Pelodiscus sinensis: one gene and its partner. The protein of the gene in region 2 interacts with the protein of the main gene of each other region in a pairwise test. Links are inferred from orthologs where the notes say so. Each region holds a gene or a part of one and is shown on either strand. Other genes may lie near its edges.

The links.
Region 1: the proteins of ERG28 (region 2) and aquaporin-2 interact in binary tests that used the Homo sapiens proteins (3 or more experiments, as listed by UniProt). The link is inferred for Pelodiscus sinensis from reciprocal best matches to the Homo sapiens genes ERG28 and AQP2.

What each region holds. Positions count from the first base shown.
Region 1 is NC_134729.1:1,739,818-1,747,210, reverse strand, and holds the start of aquaporin-2, read right to left. Parts: upstream 3,004-7,393; 5' UTR 2,913-3,003; coding exon 2,553-2,912; intron 1-2,552. UniProt on the Homo sapiens protein: Forms a water-specific channel that provides the plasma membranes of renal collecting duct with high permeability to water, thereby permitting water to move in the direction of an osmotic gradient. Plays an essential role in renal water homeostasis.
Region 2 is NC_134714.1:43,679,253-43,686,512, reverse strand, and holds the start of ERG28 (ergosterol biosynthetic protein 28 homolog), read right to left. Parts: upstream 3,011-7,260; 5' UTR 2,905-3,010; exon of another isoform or gene 2,515-2,904; intron 2,278-2,514; exon of another isoform or gene 2,143-2,277; intron 1,997-2,142; exon of another isoform or gene 1,994-1,996; 5' UTR 1,981-1,993; coding exon 1,845-1,980; intron 790-1,844; coding exon 699-789; intron 1-698. Other genes in the region: tubulin polyglutamylase TTLL5, read left to right, coding at 4,339-4,415.

The sequences.
Region 1 (7,393 bases), on a different chromosome or scaffold from region 2:
CTCCTGGTTCTCCCTGGGCGCTAGTCCAATCCTGTGCCTCTTTTTAAGGCGATCCTGCCACTTTACATCCAGCTGTCTGGTAGTTGTGAGGTGACCCAGGAAGGACGCTCACAAGACCCACAAAATTCATGTCACTCGTGACCTGCGGCCGTGTCGGTTTTGCAATATACAGGGTGACCCGTAGCTAACCCACGTTCCCTTAAGCTAATCTCCAGGGCGGTACCCCTGGAGGTTGCGTGTTAACTGACCAATTTGTAGTGCTGCCAGTCCTGGCTGAGATCTTATCTCTGGGCCAGCGACACTGCCGGAGCCCGACACATGCTCTGCTACACACTGAAATCTTGATGTTTTATCCAGAACCAGAAAGTCCACCTGCAGGTTTTCCCCCCTTGCTGTGTGGCCTCTTTGCCTCCCAGGAAGGTTAAGGGCTAGATCAGGGGTGGGGAACCTATTTTGAGCCTGGGGGGCTGCTGACCCACAGAAAAATCAGTTGGGGGCTGCATGTGTGAGAAAAAAAACCCTCACTGGTGTGGCCCTTGACGGGGAAGCAGAAAGACACGCCCCACATTCCCTTCGCACACCAGATTGTCAGGGCCCTGGGGTAGGGCTAAAAACGAGGGGTTCAGTGTATGGGAGGGGGCTGCCGGGAAGCAGGTTTGGGACACAGCTCCCCAGGGATGCACACGGTTCCGGGTCCCCCGCCGCTCCCAAGCACCGCCCCCTGCTGTTCCTATTGTCCAGGATGAGGGCCAATCAGAGCCCTGCAAGGAGGGGCGGGGCTGGAGCACCAGCCTGGGCTCCCCGACACCATCCAGTGGCTGGGTGCTGATCTGCAGTCCACTGGTGTAAACCCAGGGATTGCGGAACTCTGGATTGCCACGGGTGTGGCTGCAGCTTGGTCTAGACACAGATTACGTCTACACTGCAGATCACAGCCGTAGCTGACCTGCCTTGAACTTGGGAACGAGAACCCCATTCGCAGCAACGTGGTAGTCCAGTGGCCATCCAGGGCTTAGCGAGGTTTTCTCTGACTTCTCCCTTACTTCCTATGGAGCCAGTTCTCCCCCCTCCCCTCCGCTCTCCGCTGTTGCAGTTAAACCAAGAAGCACGTTTCCGGCTGCCCGGGGCCCCGCGAAAGTCGCCTGATTTTTGTCACCCCACGCAGACCCTTTACCAACCTGGAGCTAGCGCTATCCAAGCGACGGAGGTTTGACTCCAGCGCCATCCTGTCGGGGAAGGAATCTCGTTTCACGTGTGGTATCCCAGCCTACTGTATCCCTTCTTCCTACAGGCCGCTCGAGGTGACCCCCCCTCCAGCCAGAGCCCCCTCCTACACCCCAAAGATCCTCTCCTCTGCCCCACACGCCAGTCTCATTTTGTTGGGTCGCGGCATCCACCAATTTCTTCAGCAAGGTCATAGAATCATAGAACCATAGAGCTGGAAGAGACCTTAGAAGGTCATCAAGTCCAGCCCCCTGCCCTAGGGTCGTGAGAAAACACGTCCGATCTCCCTGCAGTGGAGCGTTAACCAGCCTCCTCTGATGCCGTCGTGTTAAAAAAACAACTGTCGTGCCAGCTTTCATGCCACCAGCATCCAGGAAATACCAGCGGGAAGGAAGACCCCCGCCCCATATGCCAGATTCACTAGACACAGGGGCATTGCATCGGTGGTGTAATACACTTCCCGAGAAGGGTTCTCCCGGCTGTGCTAGGAACTCCAACCCGCTCTCATGCCCGCTTGGCTGTGTATTGCCTGCCGCTTGTTGGCTGCTCTCCTGAGCAGCACCGGGGACTGTATGGAGCAGGGACAATTGGGCGCGAAGACATCCCAGGTGTATCCCCACCGCTAGAAGGAAGCACGATCTAGCCGTTGGAACGCCGTACCGCCTGTCGGGGCACCTGGATTCATTCCCAGCAGGAGGGAGTTGGGTTAGAACAAGGGTGTCTGGCAGCCAGAACTGCTGGGTTTTAGTTCCGCAACTAGAAGGCAGTATGGCCTAGAGGTTGGAACATGGCGCTGGGTGTCAGGACACCTGGGGTCATTAGGACCAGAGAAGAGCAACAAAGATGACGGAGGGTCTGGAAAACATGATGGATGAGGGAAGGCTGAAGGAATTGGATTTGTTTGGTTCAGAAAAGAGAAGATGGAGAGGGGACATGCTAGCGGTTTTCAAGTATCTAAAAGGGTGTTACAAGGGGGAGGGAGAAAAATTGTTCTCCTTGGCCTCTGAGGACAGGACAAGCAGCAATGGGCTTAAATTGCAGCAAGGAAGGTTTAGGTTGGACATTAGAAAAAGCTTCCTACCTGTTGGGGCAGTTAAACACTGGAATAAGTTGCCCAGGGAGGTTGTGGAATCCCCATCGCTGGAGATATCTAAGAGCAGGTTGGACAGACACTTGCTACTACTAGAAGGCAGTGTGGTCTAGTAGTTGGAACATGGCTTTGGGTAGCAGGACACCTGGGTTCTATTCCCAGCCTCGCGTCACTTTGCCTCAGTTTCCCTAATCACCCACCACTCCTGTTCATCCCCCCGTGTGGGTGGCCTCCTTACCCTGTTGATGGCCAGCTGTCCCCGGAGGCTCGGCGGGGTGAGTTCGTGCAGGAGCGCCGCCCCGGCGACCGCCCCCAGGAGCTGCGCCGCCACGTAGAAGACGGCCCTGAGGAAGGAGAGGTGGGAGCCCAGCAGGCACGCCACCGTCACGGCCGGGTTGAGGTGGGCCCCGCTGACGTGCCCCACGGCCTGCACCAGCGTGGCGACGGCCAGGCCGAAAGCCAGCGAGACCTGCAGGGCGTCCGGGGGGGCCGGCGGCCAGCTGAGGGCAGAGCCGAGGCCGAAGAAGATGAAGAGCAGCGTGGCCAGGAACTCTGCGAAGACAGCCCGGGCGAAGGCTGCAGAGCGGAGCTCCCACATCCTGGGGCGCGCTGGGAATGCCCCTAAGCGCTGCCGTGTGCGGCTCCCTGCAGGGTGCGGGGTGCGATCACGCTCCCTGTGTGTATATATAGGCAGAACATCTGCAGACGGAGGAGGGGCAGGGGCTTTGGAAACCTGATCCATTGCTCCCTCCAGTTCCAGCCGCGGCTGGCTTCAGACCCTGCCCCGACTGTTCACCCGCGACCGTGGCATTTGCCAATTTCAGGCGCTCCTGCACTCGCTGGGCAGCGTTGCCCTCGGCCCCACCCTCCCCCGGTGCCGTTCCTCTCTCCTCTTCGCCCCCACCGGCCTTTTCCGCAGGGAGGGGAGAAAACGGACGTGGCAGCATTTGGGGGGACGAGACGAGCCAGGCTGGGCAGGAGAGGTGTGGTGTCCCTGGCCTCTGTTTGTCCCAGGCTGGGAATGGGCGACGGGAGGGAAAGGAAAGACACGTAGTGAGGTGGCTGGGTCTGCGTCGGGATGGAGAGCGACACAGCGAGATGGAGGGAGGATCAGACCTGGCTCCAAACTCCAGAGTCTGCAGATGTTTCGCTTTCACGCTGGGCCATCCTGTTCAGAACCACGTCTAGATAAACACTTCAGACCAGCCAGACGGGGTCAGACCAAAGGTCCCTCCAGCCCAGCGTCCTGTCTGCCCACCGTGGCCAATGCCAGGTGCCCCAGAGGGAGGGAACAGAACCGGGAATCCTCATGTGATCCCTCCCCTGTCACCCATTCCCAGCCTCTGACAAACAGCCATCGATGGACCTATCCTCCATGAATCTATCTCACACTTTTTTGCACCTTGTTAAAGTTGCTCTTCACCACATCCTCTGGCGAGGAGTTCCACAGGTTGACGGTGTGCTACATGAAGAAAAACTTTGGTTTGTTTTAAGCTGCCTATTCATTTCATTGGGTGAGCCCTAGTTCTTATGGGAACAAGCAAATCACTTTTCCTTATTCGCTTTCTCCATAGCTGTCATGATCTTACAGACCCCCTTAGTCTCTGCTTTTCGACGCTGAACAGTCCCGGTCTTTTTAATCTCTCCTCATGCCTGGGCACAGCTGTGCCGGTGGGAGGCCAGGAGTGGAGCAGCGGGTTTGCGTGGGGGAGACGCATGGGTCAGGATCACACTGGCTCGGTTCCGTGTGTGGGAGCACGCGTGTGGGGGAGCCCTGTGTTCCGTGTGTGGGAGCACACAGCCCTGAGGACTGCGGGTCAGGCTTGTGGTGCACTGACGGTGGGGTGCAATAGCTCAAGTTCGTGTGATGGAGCCAGGGGAGCTGGCGCCAATAGTGGAGTGGAGGGCAGACATGCTGGGAGCTGGGTGAACGGCTTTCTAGTTCCGTGAATAAACTGCCAGAGACTGTGGCCATGTAATCAAGGCAGGCAGGCACCTGAGGTTAGTGGAGCAGCAGGCTGATCAGGCACCTGCAGCTGGTTGAGGCCTGTGGAGTTTCCTGGAAAGGTTTCCCCCAGGCGAGGGGGAAGGAGAAGAGGGAAGGACTGAGAGGAGGAAGCGCCTTGCTGGAGAGCCAGGGACTGCGAAAAGGATGGAGTGTTTGTGCTGAAGCAGGAAAGATTCGCTAGGTCCCAGGGAGAAGGTACTTTGGGCACGTGGGCTGCTGTCTTGGGGCTCGAGGAAAAACTCTGTTAGTGGCCGCTGCCTAGGGTCCCTGGGCGGGAACCGGAGTAGTGGGCAGGTCCGGTTCCCCCCAAGCCACTAAGAAAAGTCTGTTCCTGGAAAGGAAGGCCAGGGTTACGGGAGGGGGGAAGAGTTCCCCCAATCCTTTGACTTTGCCAGTGATGAGCTTGGCTCAGTAAGTTATAACCCTGGCCTCTAGAAGCCATAAGAGGCAGGCTGGTGGAGGTGACCGCGAGCCTCTGAGGCAAACAATAAGGGCATGTCCACACTTGCAGCCTAACTCGAACTAGGGCTGCAAATGTAGGCATGCGGAATTGCAAATCAAGCCCGGGATTTAAATATCCCGCCCTTGCTTTGCATCTTCCCGGCCGAGTGCCATTTTTGAAATGTACAAGCCCGAAGTAACTGCCCGCGTCTACATGCGGCAGTGAAACGGGCGTTCGAAATAAAGCCCTAATTCGAACTGCCAGTTAAACCTCATTGCAGGAGGAACCTCATTGCAGGAAGCAGTTACTTTGGGCTTGTAAATTTCAAAAAACGGCGCCCAGATGGGAAGATGCAAATCCGTCGTGGGATATTTAAATCCCGGACTTGATTTGCAATTCTGAATGCCTACTTTTGCAGCCCTAGTTCGAATTAGGCTGCAAGTGTAGACATACCCTAACCCCCTAGAAGCTCAGGGCCCTGGTTGCAATAGGGCAGGGCCTCTGGGTGGGGACTGAGATGTGTGGGCTACACTCGTCCTTTGAAGCTGCTTCCGTCGAACCAGAAAGACGTTGGAGAAGAAGGAGCAACTATGGTCCTAGACCTGCCATTGGTGACCATCTCGAGGCGTGTTCATACAGAGACGAGCAGACCTACCCAGTATTGCTCGGGGCCTTAATGAAGGTTCGTTGGTTGGTTTGTTTAATGTGAATGCTTTGTTGGAATGATTGTGTTTTTCCTAACTACAGTATTATTCTGATGAAGTTAATTATTATTTCAGACGTCTTTAGAAGGGGATTGTGAAAAGGTGCCCATTTAATTTATTGATTTTTAAAATGGGAATTCCATCAAGTACATTTTTTCCCTCATCCCTATAAAGTCCCATCCTGTGCCCCACTACAGGACACGCCCCACCCCACTTCTGCTCCACCCGCCCCTCTTCCCCCAAGCCCCACTCCGGCTGTGTTCCTTCCCTCCCCTGCTCTGCCCCCGTCCCATGGGATGCAAGCTGGAGGATTACCAGAAGTCGGGTGGCTGTAGGGGGTCACCCCACCCCCCAACTCACCCTGGCAATGGGAGCCGGAGCAGCCCCAGAGCCTGCCCCACCCTGCCGCCCTCCCAGCCCACTGGGTGCCTGACTCCAGCTTCTAGTGGGTCACCCTCTGCTCCTTTATATATTATTATATCTACTCTATATTTGCGAGACTTGGTCTGTGTGTCTGTCTGTCAACTGTACGAGGTAGGACCACCAATTTCGGCAGCATCATAACTTACAGCCAGGGCAGTGGCTGCTTGCGCCCGGACAATGGGATGTGCCTGGAATGGGATTGGCTTCCGTCCACTCCCCACAAATCGACGTAACTGAGCGAATGGTGAAGGAGGCTGGAAGACGATGTGATTGGAAACCACGATAACGATCGCCCATTTGTCATTAGAACCTAGCGAAGGACGACGTGGAGCCCCCAGCGCTGGAGCTATCTGAGAGCAGGTTGGATAGACACCTGTCAGGGACAATCTAGACCACGAGTTCCCAAACGGGGGGGGGGGCGTGCCCCTCGGGGGAGGGGCATGAAGAAATTCCAGGAGGCGCATGAGGCAACCCAGCCCCCCATCAATCTCCCCCTCTCCCCAAGTTTTGCTGCTATTTTTGTTTCTCGTCCCTCGTCAGTTCCTTTTTTCCCCCCTCAACAAGTTTTGCTGCTTTTTTTGCGGGGGGGAGGCATGAGGGTGTCTCAAAAATCCAAAAGGGGGCATGATACCGAAAAGTTTGGGAACCACTGGTCTAGACCATGCTTGGTCCTGCCGTGAGGACAGGGGACTGGACTTGATGACTCTTAAGGCCCCTTCAGTCCCAGTATTCAATGATTCAAGGTGTTTGTGCTGTGGATGAATCCGTATGGCTGGCAGAATACATGGCTCCAGATGCAATGGATCTAGACCATGGGTTCCCAAACGGGGGGGGCGTGCCTCCGGGTGGGAATGTGAAGAAATTCCAGGGGGGGCATGAGGTGACCCAGCCCTGCCCCCTCAATCAGGTTTTGCTGCCCTGTTCAGTTCCTTTTTTCCATTTTTTTTTTTGCTCAACGAGTTTTGCTGCTATTTGGGGGGGGGGGGGCGTGAGGATTTTTCAAAAATCAAAAAGCAGGGTGTGATGCCAAAAAGTTTGGGAACCGCTGCTCTAGACAGTCTTCTGGCCTCAGAGCTGGGAGGTGAGATAATGTAGGAACCAAACCAAACTCTCTTGAAAGTTTAGGAATCTATGGGCAGGCAGTGACTCTCACTTTCCTAATTTAACTCGAGAAGGGAGTAGACCGTCTTTTAAGCTTGAAGCTGTGTGTCCAGGACTTCCAGGTCCCATTCCCCGCATTGCGAGTCACGGTGTTCCATGCGTTATTAAGGACACGATGTCGCAACTTTCATCAATAAAACTTTAGGATGGCAGGTCGGTCTCATTGCTCGCCTTTTATAGATGGGGAAATTGAGGCACAGGCTTTCCCAAGATCAAGCCATGAGTCAGTGGACATGTCAGGAGTTGACACCAGGTTGCAAACCTCCCAGTTCAGTACACTGCCCCGCTGTACCATGCTGCCTGCCTCATGCTGGCCAGCTGGGTAATATGAAAACCTTGGA
Region 2 (7,260 bases):
CCAGGGCTGAGGGTTCCAGAATGAGGATCAGAAACAGGATTAAAAGGCTGTGTCAGCTCTGCTAATTATCAGCTTGATCTAAGAACTAGGTTCAAGTGAGCAACTCCTCTTTCTAGGATTCAGGGGGTAGTAATTAAACTTTTTACTCCAAGAGCTGCTCAGTAAGGGTACATCTACACAGCACTGTTATTTCTGAATAATTGATGTTATATCAAAATAACAAAGTGCGCATCTACACATAAGCAATTATTTTGACAATGTTGAATTAATGTCTAGTTGGAAGACTTCTTACTCCGACTCCTCTAAGGCTCATTTTACGAGGATTAAGGGAAGTCAGAGGAAGAGTGATCTATTTCAAAATAAGTGCTGTGTACATGCGCCCAAATTCAAAATAAGCTCTTTCGACTTAAACTATGCAATTAGCGTAGCTCAAGTTGCATATCTTATTTCGAGTTTAGCCCTGTTGTGTAGACATACCCTTAGAGACCAGTGATTAATCCACCATATGGGGCTACCTGTTATGATATTTCAAGGGAAGACTGTCTACCCCTACATCAAGAGGAACTCAAGGGGATTTCAAGAAGCAGCTATTGATAATGGCCAGAACTGCCCCATAAGAGGACTTAAGAGTAATAGCAGTGATAAGTGTACACTATGGGGAAAAAGGGACACCCTTCTCTGGCATTTCCCTTACATACGTCTTGTTGCGAATGTCAATAGCACAGGAGCAGCGAATCACTGACGACAGTAGAGTCCAGATGCCAAAAGTCCGAGCTTGGAGACCATTCACTGTGCAGAGAAGAAACAAATGAGGTAAATGAATGCTCCATCCCATGAGCTACCATCTCTACAGGCTCGACCAAGTGGTTGAGCGAAGGAAGAACATAAAATCTACTTCCAGGTAGAGAGTTACACCATATCAAGATTTCCTAGATGATTCAAGGGCAGATAAGTGTGTACGAAAATAGCTGCTAGGAATCGTGCTCCCCTTTCCAGTAACCACAGACCCTCAAGGGAGAAAAAGAACCAAGGCTGGTTCCAGTGCTTCACTAAATCAGAAGCATTGCTATGGATGCTGAATAGCACAGTAGAAGACAGTACAGTGTAGGGATGTTAGCTTTAGATTAACTGGCTAATTGAATTGTCGATGCAAATTGCATCGATGATTCGATTAGTTGATAAGGGAGCCTCCACCTTTGAAGTGTAGCAAAGCCCCAGGGAAAAGCGTTGCAGGGAGAAAGCGTTGCAGGGAGCACGGGGCCAGCGGGGGACTCAAAGCAGTCCCCCACTGGTCCCATGCTTCACACGTTTCAAAGTGGCAGTGCTGCACGGAGCCCAACCCTGGGCTCCATGCAGCAGTGCCGCTTTGAAATGCTGTGTGCAGCCCAGGCCAACTGGGGACTCCCCAGCTGGCATCTGACTGCATGCATTTCAAAGAGGCAGCGCCGCATGGAGCCCAGGGTCTGGTCCCGGGCTCCACGTGGCGCTGCCGCTTTGAAGCATCCCATCCTCTTTCCTCCACCTTGCTGCCTCTTTCTGATAGAGGCAGCAAGGGTGGGAGGAAGCAACTAGTCAACTAGTGTATTAACTAGTCGTTCACATCCTTAGTATAGCGGAGACAGGCAGGCGTGCTCCAGAGAAAACGAAGGTTGACTGCTGAAGAGGGTTGCCCTGGTGCGTTTGGGCTAGCATGTGGAATACAGGAAGTTAAGATTTGCACTGTGGCTCACTTCTGAGATGTGGACAAAAGTTCTTCAGGACTTGGGGCAATATGCTGATAAATGAGGAATAGCTACTATTGTAATGACTCTTGATGGGCAGGATGGGCAACTTGGGCTCCTTACCAAGGCTAGGTGTGCCTGTATACAGCTTCTCAGAGAGAAAACTGTGGTCACGAAAACTCTGCAATGTGTTCCCCATTGCGATGATGGACACCATGACTAGCCAGCTGCGCAACACGTTCAGAAAACGGCTCATCATGCTCTGGTACCTGCTTCTGGGGACAAAAGCAGGAGATCATCACAAAAGGAAACCACACGGATTCTACTCCCTAGAACTTTTCCACTTAAGCCAGGAACCCGGCTTTTCCACAGAAAGTCCCTTTCTCTTTCCATAAGTCCCCAGAGAGCAAGCAGTCCTCACCAGATAAAGCTTGCACTACACCCCTGATAATGCAAGAGTAGAAATCTGTATGTCCAGCAGCCTGGAACAACATGATGCTGCTGCCCCATCGTAGGGAGTTACTAATCTTCAGGGTCCTGGGCAGAACATGACGAAGTAGAAATCTTTGGTGCATCCTCTCCACCTTTCTCTCTCCCCCGATTGGAGACAACAGCTTACCACATCACTCACGTCTGCAAGACCGATCGTGTATCTAGCTCCCTGCATGGCAAAGCTGGGCACTGACACCCAAGTTAATGCAACCTACTTGTTAATGCCAGTGGAGAGATTTACACTCCCTGCCCCGCTGTCCCGGGGCTGAAGTCCACTCCGTTTCCTCCGGTCCCACCCCCTCCGTGCCCCACATCTCCCGCACAAGTCCCCCAACCCGTCTTCGCGCCGATTCCCTCCCGCCCTCGACTGACATCACCATTTTATCGCCCTTCCCCAACAGAGAACATTTTATCGCCCTTCCCCGAGCCCCTCCAGCCTTCCCACTATCTTCCCTGAGCCCTGCACCGCATCCTCCGACCAGTCCTCACCCCGCTGCACATCTGCTCCCAGCCCTTCAGCTCCAGCCGCTCCCCTGTGCCCACCCGCTATGCAGCAGCAGCCCCACCCCTTACTGGTTTGCGTACTGGTTGGTTCCATGTTAGCCCTGTCCCTACTTAGATTGGCTGTTAGACCCATCACTACTCACACGCCATATAGATTGATAGGTCACTACACGAGTCTCTATATTACCATAAGGCGCCTCCGCTCCTGAGGCGCGGTGACGTAAAAATGGGCCTTGTGCGTGCTTTTGGGGGGAGGCGGAAGTTGCAAGTGGCGCGGGCAAGGCGTGCAGCGCGGTGTTTGCGCCTGCGTGTTAGGAGGAGGGGATGCCTCTGGCGCCTGCGCAGAAGGGAATTGGAGGCGGTTGCCTGCCTGTTGGTTGTTGTAGTAACGGGGAAGCGTCGGGAGGAGGGAGCAGTGGCCGGTGGGGCTGCGTTGCCCGGAGCCCATCCCATGCCCCCAGGAAGGTGAGGCTGTAGGCAGGGGGAAGGCGGGAGCGCATGGCGCGGCCCCAGGGGCTGCCAGCTACGGCGGGGGAAGCTGCGGGTGCCGCCCGCCAGCGCGGCGGGAACGTGGCGTCCCGGGCTCGCTAGCCCCGAGGCGGCCGCGTTCGGCGGGGCCTGTGGCTTGCGGCTGTGGGGCCAGGTGTCTCCCTGGAGCCCGGCCCGGCCCCCCAGTAGGAGCGGACGGCGCGGGGTGGGGCGCTGCCGTGGGAAGCAGCCCCCCTGCCCCGAGGCGTCACGGGGGTGCTGGGCCCTCCGCAGGTCCCTTCTGGCTGCGCTAGTAGAGCGAGTCGGAGGCTCCTGCGTGGGCAACGACCAGAGGGCCTGGGTCGGCGCCAGACCGTGTGGCGGTGAAACCTGAAGAGATCATCGGAGCCTCCTGTCTGACCCCCGTGTGGAGCACCATCGCGTGTGTTTGACTAAAGCATAGCCCTATTAGGAAAGCCTTTGAGGAAGAAATGCAGAAGCAGGCAGACCTTTTCCAGCTAGCCTCTGAGTCCCGTGCACAGGAAAGTAACTTTCTTTTCTGGGAAGCTGATCAGAAATCTATCCTGGGACTCCCTGCACAGGAGCAGTTTAGACCGAGAGGGGTCTCGCAGGAGATTGTTCATAAGGGCTGAGGGCCCCAAAGAAGTATCACTGTGAGTGAAAAGTTACTTAACTAGACAGGGCACTGTATCAAAGAGGGGTAGCCATGTTAGTCTGAATCTGCAAAAGCGAGGAAAGCTTATGCTCCAATAAATCTGTTAGTCTGTAAGGTGCCACAGGACTCCTTGTTGCTGTGTAGTTAAGTGTCTTGGACTAGTGATGGTTCAGAGGAAAGTACAAAAGCTGACTGTTATGGAAGTTTTTTCCTGGTCCAAATAGTTTAGTTTATACCCTGTAGTAGCAGGATAAATGTCCCATGTAGATTTGTGTACTGTACTGGAAACAGTTGAGGTAGTGCTGTGGCCTCCTCTCTTTATGCTGAGTTGGCATATGTCTCTAGGCTATTCTGCACAGTAATATACTCATATTCCTGATGTTTATTACAGGAAGCTGCATTGGCTAGATCCACTGATCCTCTGTGAAAGGGACTAAGAACCACAGTGACTGGACTGCATGAAAATTCCTATATGAGATGCCAGTTGGGATGGCTCGAGACTTGGAGGAAACTGGCTCATCCACAGAGGAGGAAGAAGTGGAAGAAGAGCCAGAGTAAGTAAAAACATATACAATGCCTGAATAGTAGCTGTGCTTCACCTGGGATGTATGGGGTCTTTAGAGGATATTTACTAATCTGGTATGACCATTTCATTCCTCACCTGTAATCCTTCAGGTCTGTTTGCTGAGGAAGGAAATAGATGGGGTGGGTTTGGGGCTTTTAATCATAAACAAGTATGTTGGTAGGTACAGAAATCTTTGCTTTGAGGAGTCTAAAAGAACCCCACTTTCCTTCAGAGAGGGAGCCTCTGGGATTAGGGCTGATAGGAAGAGGGTGAGGCCTCATCTGCTGATTTTTCTCACTCTCCTCACTTCCTGGTGTCTTCCTTATTATTACTACATTCTTTCACAACTCCCTGACATCCCTTTTTCAGCTAGGGTGGATTCTCTTGAGTACCATCCAGGGAAATGTGTAGCTCCTAGTTCTACTGTCTGCATTTGTTTCCATTTTTGCATATAGAAACATAAGGTATTGCAGAGCAGCCTGCTATCATGTAGGTCATTTGGACTCTCTTATCCCTCATGTTCTATTTAAGGTTAATAGGAGATATGTTAGTCCACTCATCTAGGAGTTCCTGTCAGTCCTATCTCCCTGCTTTGTGTGGCACCTCCTTCCATCTCTATTGCTCTAGTGTCCATTTCCAGAATGGTGTCCTACTCCTGCATTAGCAAAGTCTGCTTTAACAAGCTAGGTTTTTCTGTTTCTCAAAGACGACTCTCAGCATAGTTTACCATGAAAAGGGCCCCTACTTAATGCTCCCAATAAAACTGAGTTGTCCACGTGTTCTCAGACATCCCAGGGAAGGGATAGGAGGGCCTGGGTTGGCGTCATTCAGTCAGATGGCAGTTTGGTACTGTGTCTGCATCAAGTAACCAACGTCATGCTAGGGATGAATCTGGACAGTTGCTTGGAGGATAGTATGAGTCCTGGTGGCCTCAGTGCAAATCCTCAGAGCAGAGCTTAACCTAAAGCCCCTTTTCTGCTGTCTCGGCTCTGTTCCCACTTACGTAAGTAAGGTGCTAGCTTGTGCTAAGACTTGATGCTGCTGTACACTGGCAATGGGTGAGCAACTGAATTCATCTAAGGGTGTGTGGGAGGATTCTGGGGCCAGATAAAGAGCTCAGGCCTGAGTGGTCTGGTCTGAGGAGGGGGGAAGAAGAAAGATTGGGCTTGCCTTTATTTAGGGATAGTAAATATTTGTTGAATGTTCACATTTGATCTGATGCACTGGATGGTCCACAGGGAAAAATGATCTCTGCTATCCAATGTGGAGAGTAGACCTACTTACATTTACTTCTTTATCTCAGCCTTGAGAAGGTGCCCACACAGGAATCTTCTTTGTGCACCTCTGTCTAGAAATGTGGGGAAGTGGGTATACAGATATTTATCTCTGCATTAGGGATGTAATGGTGTAGTAAATTAACCAATAAGCAAAAGCGTATAGGTTAATGCTATACACTATACGCATTTCCCCCTGCCAGTATATTTTATAGCAGGCTGGCCAGCAGCCCGGCTCAGTCCTGGCTCATGCCATGTCTGGGACCGACCCCTGCTACAACTCTGCATTTAAAGTGTATTAGGAGCCAGCTGGCTCAGTTCTGGCTCGTGCTGTGTCCGGGAGCTCAGCCCTCCTCTCTGCGCTCCCCCCCACCCCCCGCACCCCTGGACAGAGTATGACGCAGTAGTGTGGGGTGGTGGCAGGCAGCCAGTCTGAGGGGAGAGCTATTTTTTTAACTGGCTCCCCTCATGGACCAGCTCCCGCCAGGCACCCCGTGCTGCTGCCTCATGGAATGGCAGGGGGCTCCTCGGGAGCGGAGTTGAAGTGCACTGGCTGCCGGCCCCACCCCTGGGGACCATAGAATAGTTGAGTAACCAATAAGAATTCATGAGGTTAACTGACTAATCCGTTAACCAATATTTAACAAATATGCAATGGTACAGATAAGCATGTTACTGAATGACTTTTTAAAGTACTTATCACTAGTGTGAAGTGCTAGCCAATTTTAATACTGGGTTGATAGGCAGTTGAAGGAGGGACCGTTGAACCCAGAAATCGGATTCAAAGACTGAAAAATCAGGGATGGGGCAACATGTACAGGTCACAGGGATCTGGCTGATGCACAAGCAGAGAATTGTGTATAATGCCCTCTGCTCCAAGAAGTTGCCCCGGTGACTGAATCTTTTGTGTGTCACCCATAGTTTGCCTTCCCTTGCCCAGGAGAGAATCAGATTGCCTGGTTCTTTCAATTATTGGCCTTTCTCCTGAGATTGTGAAGTTGGAGAGGAGCAGTTGTGCTGGTGGCTTTGTGATGCGGACACCTGTTCAGTGGGAATTGCATTTGAAGCCATTGATTTATTTTATATTGGCTGAACCAATGTTCTGTTGAGGTTAGACACAAACTTTTGAGCTTACACAGTGCTCTGCCTCATGTCAGACCTGAAGAAGATGTGTGTAAGTTCAAAAGCATATCTTTCTTCAATAGAAGTCTGTCCAATAAAAGATACTACCTCACTCATCTTTTAATATCCTGTAACCAACACAGCTACAGTAACACTTCATATTGGCCGAACAGATCTTTGGAGCCCACTATCAATGTATGTACGATTTAAATCAAGAATTGAAGGTGAGAGGCTCTGTATCCTATCCCTATTTGTGGAGTCATCTCGTACTCTGGAATGAGTTTGATGGTGACCAAGGGTAGACACTTCCAGGGGTAAGGCTTCATTAGGAAGTTTAAATATTTCTCCTTGACACACAACCTGTGGATGCAGGCTTAGCAAACTAACCAATATCTGCTGCAGCTTTCTCAGCTCATACCCTGGTCTTCAGCCTCACCT